2 linked regions of the Bombyx mori genome follow. The main gene of each other region encodes a partner of the protein of the gene in region 2 in a complex. Links are inferred from orthologs where the notes say so. Each region holds a gene or a part of one and is shown on either strand. Other genes may lie near its edges.

Evidence for each region. The genes of interacting proteins can lie anywhere in the genome.
Region 1: MICOS complex subunit Mic60 (region 2) and MICOS complex subunit MIC13 homolog QIL1 share a complex: the UniProt entries of both Drosophila melanogaster proteins name them as parts of the mitochondrial contact site and cristae organizing system (MICOS) complex. The link is inferred for Bombyx mori from reciprocal best matches to the Drosophila melanogaster genes Mitofilin and QIL1.

Annotation. Positions count from the first base shown.
Region 1 is NC_085115.1:12,273,171-12,276,913, reverse strand, and holds MICOS complex subunit MIC13 homolog QIL1, read left to right. Parts: upstream 1-1,307; 5' UTR 1,308-1,451; coding exon 1,452-1,459; intron 1,460-1,549; coding exon 1,550-1,706; intron 1,707-1,785; coding exon 1,786-1,974; 3' UTR 1,975-2,084; downstream 2,085-3,743. Other genes in the region: proliferation-associated protein 2G4, read right to left, coding at 2,684-2,773, 3,270-3,416. UniProt on the Drosophila melanogaster protein: Component of the MICOS complex, a large protein complex of the mitochondrial inner membrane that plays crucial roles in the maintenance of crista junctions, inner membrane architecture, and formation of contact sites to the outer membrane.
Region 2 is NC_085132.1:11,511,971-11,517,867, forward strand, and holds the start of MICOS complex subunit Mic60, read right to left. Parts: upstream 3,715-5,897; 5' UTR 3,602-3,714; coding exon 3,557-3,601; intron 2,221-3,556; coding exon 2,057-2,220; intron 1,529-2,056; coding exon 1,372-1,528; intron 1,057-1,371; coding exon 966-1,056; intron 565-965; coding exon 493-564; intron 330-492; coding exon 160-329; intron 93-159; coding exon 1-92. Other genes in the region: large ribosomal subunit protein bL35m, read left to right, coding at 4,595-4,616, 4,753-5,261. UniProt on the Drosophila melanogaster protein: Component of the MICOS complex, a large protein complex of the mitochondrial inner membrane that plays crucial roles in the maintenance of crista junctions, inner membrane architecture, and formation of contact sites to the outer membrane.

The DNA.
Region 1 (3,743 bases), on a different chromosome or scaffold from region 2:
AAATGAACTTAACAAAACATAGATTCTTATGACACTAAAGTTTATTCAAAATGACCTCCGTGATTTTGAATACAGGCCTTCAACTGCGCGGCCAGTCGTCTATCGCAGCACGAACGAGGTCCATGTCAATATCGGCGGCTGCCTTAATCAAGGATGTCTTGAGTGACTCCAAATTGGGATGAGGCTTTGAGCACGCCTTTTCCTCCAAGTGTTGCCATATCTTGTAATCTAACGGATTCAAATCTGGACTGGAGGAGGGCCAGTCTTCGTGCCGGATGAAGTCGATTTCACGCGCCGCCAGCCAGTCTTGTGTGCTCTTCGCTCTATGAGCTGGCGCCGAATCTTTTTGGAATACCCAGTGCCTGTTATTGAACATGGTATGAGAAACAGGTTCCACAAGGTTCGTCAGGATTGTATTTTGATACACAACTGCATTCGTTTTTACACCTTTCTCACAAAAATGTACCTCTGTTAAGCCCCAATAAGAAACTCCCAACCATACCATGAGCGAGGATGGAAAATGACCTCGTTGGACACGTGAAATACGGTTGCTCGCTTCTTCACTACGGTGTGCGTACACCTTATCATTTTGTTTGTTGTAGCTCTCTTCTACGGTAAAAATTTTTTCATCCGAAAAAAGAATTTCCCGATATTTTTTTCCCGCGTACCGCTTCAACAAAGCGCGGCATCTCTTCAGTCTCAGGTCCATTAGACGAGCATTCAAACGATGTCCTGTTTTTCTTCGATATGCCCGAAGCCCTAAGTCTTCATTTAACACCCTTTTCACCGTGGTTCTGCTTAACCCCATCTGAAGGGCCAACAGTTTCTGCTTACGTTTGGGATTTCTTTGAATTCGCGCCTTCACAGCTTTTATCACTGCTGGAGTCCTAACAGACCGAGGGCGACCACTTCTTGACCTGTCATCTACACTAGAGTCTTCATTGTATCGTTTGATGGTACGATAAACGAATCTTTTGGTTATATTCAAATTTTTCAGTATGTTAAAAATTTGAATTGGCGCGTAACCGCAACGATGCAACGCAATAACTGCAACACGGTCTTCTTTAAGCGTCCACTCCATATTTAAAAATGAGTAAAATTCTAAAAGTATACATTTTTATTTTCATGAACAGTTCGAAATTCGAATTCAATAAACTTTTTTGTGGCCAGCATTCTAAAAGAAAAGTTTTTACTGTGTGACAATACTTATGACCTGACTAGTTATATATATATTATACCTTCACCCTTAATAAAGAAAATTTTTCTATGTGCCTATCCCATTGCCTGTTCGATAACTGAAAAAAGGTATTGTCAACATTCAACAAATTCGAATGTCATTTTGAAATACTGGGGTAGACATAGCTACTATGGTTCACAATTTTTCTCGAAAATTTGAATTACATAATTTGCCAAAAAACTAATTAACACTTGATATTCACATTTGCTTCACGATGTTAAAGTAAGTTTAAATATTGGTTTATTGTTCCGACCGCAATAGAACTGTCAAAATATTGTACAAAACATATTCTAATTTGAACTGTGTATGTAGGTTTGGCGTGAAATCTGCGTTACTTGGATCCGCAGTGTACTACACAATAGACAAAGGTGTGTGGAAAGATAGTGCTACGACAGCGGCGATATATGATGAACTTGAAAAAGGAATGTCACCATATGTCGGGGAACTAAAGAGCCAAGTTCCATACGAAGTATGTTCTTAACTCAATTAACTACCTACTTTTAATTTCTTTTGCGGTTATGTTAATTCCAATGTTTATTTAATTACAGCTACCAGCATTACCTTCTAATGACAGGATATCATATTTGTTCAAGTACTACTGGAATTGCGGTGTCAAAGCTACATTTAGATTTTTAGTCGAATTGCCTACCCATACTAGTAATGCAGCTTTCAAGACATACGACTTTATTTCATCATCTTTGGAAACTCCAGAACCACATCAAGAAAAAGATAAATGAAGACTTAGTCAATAATTGTAATTTATTAAATACTTTAAATGTATAATTGACATTTCATCAGATGAATTTAGAGCTGGTGGTAATAAGAAATAAAATGCAACTTTACAAAACAGGCCACAGCTGTGGCAATTTGATTTATTAATTTTCTTGCAGTGTCAATATTTTATAATTTTCTATAACATTCATGCATGTTGAACACAATTTTGTGAAAAATAATAATACACACTGTTTATTTTAACATACAAAATCACATTCCAGTTTAAAAAATGAAACATTCAAATTATTAACTTCGCAAAGGGAAGTATTTGTGCACAACTATATCAGTTCAGGAATGATTAATTTGATTATAATCAAATTTTACCATAAAACGTATTTGCATGTACACAAAAATAACTGCATATTTATTTACCTACAAAATGGCTACATAAAGTAATTAGTACACACTTATGTGAAAGAAATTGGACACTAAAGTTGAAAAGCTATTATGCTATAAAATGTATTCTATAAATGAAGGCATTCTGGTGTCTAAGCCAAGATCAGAGAAGATCTTGGGTTTGTTTGTAGGTACAAAGCTAGATATTTATTCACATAACTATAAGTCAAGATGTGGTTGTCTCAGTAAAAAATTGCACAATTTTTGTTATTTTTGTCCATTTATATTGTGGAAAAATGTTAATATCATTTATTCCTGGGCACTTATGTATTTTTGCTAGGCAGCAGTCTCCACTTCCATGGGCTCTTCAGCTCCTGTTTTCTTTTTCTTCTTCTTGTTAGATTTTGCTGATGAATTTAGAAGGGCCTGTTTGTTAGAACAGAAAAACAATTTATTAGACTATCATCACCTTCATAGCGATTTAAAAAAAAAAAATGATTTCACAGAATGTTGTAATAGTTCAAACTGAAATGTAAAACAAAAACAAGTCAGCTCAAAAAGATTACAAATACTTTACCCTGAGCTTGTTCAAAACACACAATGTGATATGTTATGAAAGATAGCAGGGATAATATGTTTTCTACTTTTATCATGTTGGGTCTTAATCTTGTCTAGAATCAAGTTACAGCTGTTTTTCTGAATTAAAAATAAAATAATGGTAGGTGCTTTATAGAAATTGATGTTAGATGATTAAAAAATGATACATAGCTTTAATATAGACCTTTGTTTTCTATAACAGAATTTAAAAAAAAAACTAAGCCCTTACATGTACCATTCTGTAGATAGCACCCTGATCTGGTCTTAGTTACTGTTCACATTACAATATTTCAATAAACAGATAATAATAGTAAACAATACTGACATTAAGTTCTGGATCCTTGATGCTGCGTTCACTCTTACATTGGCTTTTATCAAAAGGCAAGCCAGTAATACGATGTGTGCCACTAGGAAGCAGAAGAGCCGTGAACTTAAACTGTGCCACCAATTCTCCTGGACGCTCATAGAGAACCTGAATAACAATTTTAATAAGTCAGGTCAGGTTCATAGTATTATAATTAATTTTTATTTTATTTTGGCTTTAGGCAAACTCACACCCAATATGGTGGTTACTGGAGTTGATCTTTACATTAATAAATCAGTCAGTCACTTGAACACACACAGTTGAAAGACTATATTGTTCTGCTACATCAAATATCTTACCTTTGGACCTGAATGCATAGCGTCTTTGCACCAGAAATAGGCCTAATGCTCATATCTATTCATGTCCGTATTTACATATCATTTAATTATTTAGAAAAAATCTCATAAATATGATTTTGTGTAAGGAACATATTTA
Region 2 (5,897 bases):
GCCTGCTCGTGCGCCGCGTCCCGCTCGCTCTGCGCGCCCTGCAGCGCCGAGAAGTGCCTCTTGTCCAGCTCCTCCACGGTGGACTCCACTATCTGCGAACGACGCCAGAGTACAGGGGCTGTGCGGGGGGTTGGGGGGCGGCGCGGCGGGGGCGCCCACCTTGTAGAGCGCGTCGTTGTAGCGCTTGCAGTGCTGGGAGGCGCGCTTGTAGCTGTCGAGGGCCAGCTTGGTGTTGTCCATCATGTCGCGCTCCAGCTGCACCAGCTCGGCGGGCACGGCGGCGGCCGGGGCGCGCGCGGGCTCGCAGCGCTCCGTCTGCACCACCGTAGCTGCGCAACACGTTCAACTTTTACTTACATATGTACGTTTTCAAATATTAAGAGATTAGATGGGATTTATTTGTTTTTTTATTGTTTTTTGTTAATTATGTTTAAATAGTTTATGTAGGATGCAATATTAATATTGAGACAATCAGGTAGCCTATCGACCTACCTGGTGTGTCTACATCCGGTGTTCCAAGCTTCTTCTCCTCCACGTAGAGGGGCTCAAGGGAGGGCGGAGGCACTGTTAGTCACACGGAATACAAGTTCATAACGTTTATTAAAAATGATTTGCTTCACAGATAGTTCAGTGGCTGGCTGAATTAAAGTACTTTTATTTACAGGTTTGGAATCAATAAGTCTTATCAAACAACTTAAGGAGTCGTGCTGGCTGAGCCACTTGACTGGACTGGATAGCAATGTGTTGAAAAACAAACAAAACAAATGAAATGAAATACAATGAAATAAAATACAAACAATGTTTCTCCTGAATGTCAAGCAAGGTACTTTTCTATTTTCTGTATGAGGTATTAAAGATTATTAGGATAGATTTAGTAATTATATGCACATATGATCATTATTTTATTAATAATAATTGTCATACTAATTGTAATTAATAAAAAAATATATGAGTACAGTACATACATTGGAAGTCTTTGCTGGTTGCCTTCTTTGCTGCATCTGCATCTATGTCCTGCTGTGACCTCGACTTTATCTCTAATGGCGTAACACCTTCCTGTAATTATTTATGATGTTTAATAATAATTTATGTCGATGTGACGTAAATTTTTATTAGCTAGGCTAGAGCTGCAGACTTGATCCGTCTTACTCCCAATCATAATCAATATCTTTTTAATTGGTTAATACTTAAATTAATTTGAAATTATTTTGTAAAACCATCCTCATTTTGACATAACTGTAACAAGTAGTGAAACCCGGTTACGCCCTGCTGTGAGCATCCCTATTGAATTTCACAGATTCCTTGAAAGTACTCAGCCGCCACTTGCCGACAGACTTTTATATTTACATATATAGGTAGTGTTAAGGTAACCTTTCCAAACACAAAGTGGCTGATTGACGTGGTGGCCTGGTTGAAACGGTCCACTGTAAACTTCCACGGTGAAGACTTCTCCTGGTAAACGAGAGCTACCAGGTCATTGGCCCAAGGGACATTTGACTCTAACCAGTTTCGGGCCTCTGGACTGTGTCTGCAATCAATTTTAACAATTTAAATATATACAAGTGTCGTAGCCTAAAGGATAAGACGTCCGGTGCATTCGTATCTAGCGATGCACCTGTGTTCGAATCCCCCAGGCGGGTACCAATTTTTCTAATGAAATACGTACTTAACAAATATTCACGATTGATCCATGGTGAAGGAATAATATCATGTAATAAAAATCAAATCCGCAAAATTAGTTTGCGTAATTACTGGTGGTAGAACCTCTTGTGAGTCCGCACGAGTAGGTACCACCACCCTGCCTGTTTCTGCCGTGAAGCAGTAATGCGTTTCGGTTTGAAGGGTGGGGCAGCCGTTGTAACCTTACTGATATTACGGACTATACGGATATTTTGCTTTGAGATTAGAGCCAGATTTGAGATACGAGGAATCACACACTACAGCAGCTGAAAAATGAAATAAAGTGTATGAAAAAGAAGAAATATCTTCTATAATTTTTCCTTATTATGTTAAATGGTTTGAGACCTTAGTTCCATCAAACCTAGTAAAAACTAACTTGGCATAAACAACAGCAGCTCCAGTAAGTACAGTCGCTCCGACAGTGCTCCAGAAGAGCTTGCGTGACTTGCGGGGTTGCTGTCGTGTACCATGATCCTGGGAGTATGAGTTTTGACGAAGTACTATCAGTGCTGCTGAGGACCCATCAATGTGTCTTCTTACCTAAATCATATATCTAATGTTAGTTGTTATACATATTACTTACCTTTTATATTTATTTTGGTCCATGAATATTACTTTAATAAAAAGGACATGTTTAATGTCATAAACAACTTTCCCTAGTATTTGTGTTTCAAAACCAAGACATACCATGTTAAGATTTATATTGTTGACGGGTCAACAAGCCCATGGCCCACCTATTGTTAAGTGCTCACTTAATCCTGTAGACAACACAATGTGAATCCTGTCCTGAACCAAAGCCAAATCAACTGTATTCCAAACCAGAGTGCATGACCACTTCGCAACAAAAATAGGCAGGATGATTGCACCTACTCATACAGTTTTATAATATACCCTACTATAATATATTATAGGTTATAGGTATACATATATATATATATATATATATATATATATATATATATATATACCCTATAAATGCCAGTTGGCAATTGCAGTATGCTGGTGTAATTCTGAGCTCAGAGAACAATGATAAAATAAGATGACAAAAGATAGGGTGGTACTAATCTAGGTCAAAGGCACACAACCGTTATGTTTCTCACAATAATAAACTTAGTTATGCTATGAATATATATTCAGTTAATAAAAGGACTATTATTTTCCCCTTTAGTTTCAGCCGTTTATTCCCTTTTTGACATAGGATACTGTCTGTTCACACTTTGCGCATGACCATATTCGATACATTTTTTGGAAAGGCTCAGGATCAATGAATCATCTGATATAATTTACCACACAATGCACTACAAACAAAGAACGATTTTTCAAAACATCTTCTCAATCAAATACTCACTTTCTATTGTATGGGACATCCGCAAATTAGCTTTCATTACTTTAGCGTTGTATTTCAACTTTGATGTTAATAATTTATATTTAACTTCAAAATAATTAACCTATTTTTTTTTTCAATTGTAATCTAATTTAAAACAATTTCTATTGCATTTTGTGAAATTTGTTTCTATGTAAACAATTTGTATAACTTTTTGTTGGACTCGCTTAATCTGCTATGATATCAGTGCGTGTGTGTTGTGCATACAGCCTTAGTCATATAGGTTACATTTAGGAAATATGACATCAAAAGTATTATGTAAGGCACAACAACTTCAAGGTCTGGTTTGTTATTCCAATGAGGGCTGGCCATACAATCGGTTTTACTATAACAGGGAGATAATAATGTTTATATCTTGCCGGAGAGATCGTAAAACATCAAAACACTGAGAAAAATCGTTGTTTGGAAACACAAATGTTCATAATGTACTAAGTATAGAAAAAAGTATTAAAATAAAACATTTAAAAATTGTCCAAAATTTTATGTACTCACCAAAACTAATTTAGCATTCGATAAATGATTCGTAAATTTGTACATTTTCGGAATCTCTCCACTTGGGCCGTCAAATTTTTAGAGACTAAAATAAATATCTATGGACTAAAATAAATACGGTAGATATTGTCTATGACTAAAATTATCAATTTTATTTCCACTGTACCTATCCATTGACCATAAAGTAAAAAAAAAAAAAAATAGGGGGCCATTTTACCATTGGGAAAATTTGGTTTGTATTTAATGAGTTTTGCTATTTCTTCAGGAGTATTTCGAGTATTTGATACTGCAAATAACTCTATTTAGGCACTGTAATGTAAACCAAAAATAAAAATATTTCTTAAGGATAACGGTAAGATGTTAACTTTTTTTATTCCACTTGCTATTAAGTTGTTACAAGAGTCCATAGACGTCGCAAAGTCATTGTCGTCACACACCTTGTAACATGAGATCGTGGTCTTAACAGTATTGTATATCGACTATCCTACCCTTTCAGCCGGAACATGTCACTGGTTTGCTACAGAAATAAACAGGATTGCGGTACAATACTATATTTATTCATTTACTGTTTCTTCAAGTTTAGCGTGTAATGTTCTAGGCTTATTAACCGTTTAGCACCTGTTAATATGCGTGAAGGAAAAGGAAATAAAACTGTTAGACGTGATTTCTCTGGCTCTTTCAAAAAGCCTATCGAACTTTCAATAAATTCCTACAATTTCAAGAAGATAAAATTAAGTTATTCAGCGGTTGATTCTTTTTTATACCTGTTTTATTTTAGTTTAGTCCATAATCAATTTCATATTAATTAATTTATATTTTTTCGTTGTTCATTTATTTTTCGTGTACATCTCTAGCAAAAACATTTTTTTTTCAAAGACTTGGCTGTATTGGCTATGTTTTATTTGCTTAATTTATCGGTATGGAAGAATGTAAGAACCTAACCACTTTATCACATTAATTTCTATTTTCTAAACCCAAAAGGTTGTGGTTAGTTTAATTTTGCATAAAATATGTTTGAACTATAACATTTTTGTAAAAATGCTGCGTTTTTTAAGTACTGGTAAGGAATAGTATATAAATAACTCTATTTCACTACCATAAAATTATTAACTTTGAATTTACTTAATTTCCTCCGTATTCTACTGTCTAAGTAGATTGTGTTCCTTTTTCATATGAATATTTTTTTTATTTTTCAGCTGTTCGCTATGCTCGATGTCTTCCGGCTTCGCCCTTACACAATGCAATTACGCTTACTACTAAAGATGTCAGACATTTCTCAGCCTTTAAGAATATAGAGATACAACCTAGATCCTTGTTACCTCAAAATTCACTTCTAGCCAACAAACAAATATTGGACATTTTAATGAAAATTGATTTTACCCCAACAAGATCGGTTATAAAGTTTAGTTTAAAAAAAGGCAAAAGGAAAACAGTAAAGGCTGTTATCAAGCGATTTTTTAGACTGCACTGGGGTGGCTGGATTCGGACTAAAATTGGAAGGCACAAGAAATTATGGAAGAAATCATCTGCAAATAAAAGGAGGCTAAGGCAACATGTGTTCTGTAACTCTACACAAAACACTTTACTTGATAAAATGGTGACGAAATACTGGAAGAGACCTAAGCATTATGTAGAAGACCCTTATGCTCCATATCACACCCGTGAAGAATTTCACTTCACAAGAAAACAACCTATACAGAAATAATGCTATTTAGTTATCAGTAGATCATAATTAAATTTAGCTTGGAACTTATTTAGTACTTTTACATTTCTCCTGTTGAAGGTTATTGAAATCAGATGGTCGAAATAGGCACAGAACATGTCATTGTGTTGAACCATGCAACAGGCCTATATCAAGCAGTGGATATCTAAAGTTTGATGATGATGAATGCTTTAGATGTATAAATTTAGTCTGTCTGTTTAGTCATTATTGTGGTCAAATTGTGCTTATTAGAGCTATAGCTATATACATATATCATCCAAAAGTGTGTGAACGTTCGGTTAGTTGTTGTCTATTTTATGTACATATGAGAACGGGCAATTTGTTCCTTGTCATCTGGTTTGTGTTTGTCTTTTAGGAAGTAAAAAAAGTACTGCCAGCTGTTAGTCACATACACCCTCGTTCCGATTCTCTCTTTATTTTTGAATTCTTATCAAATGACTGTCATTAGTTTGTGTTTAGTTGTTGTAGGTCTTATGTCCTGTCAAAGAGGTTGCACGCCACGACAGTTTGGAAACACAAAGGTAATTTAAATAAAAATGTCATTAAAACACAGTCATTATTTATTACATTTAAATCTGAATAAAATATGAATGAAGCTATCATTTAGTGAAATATAAT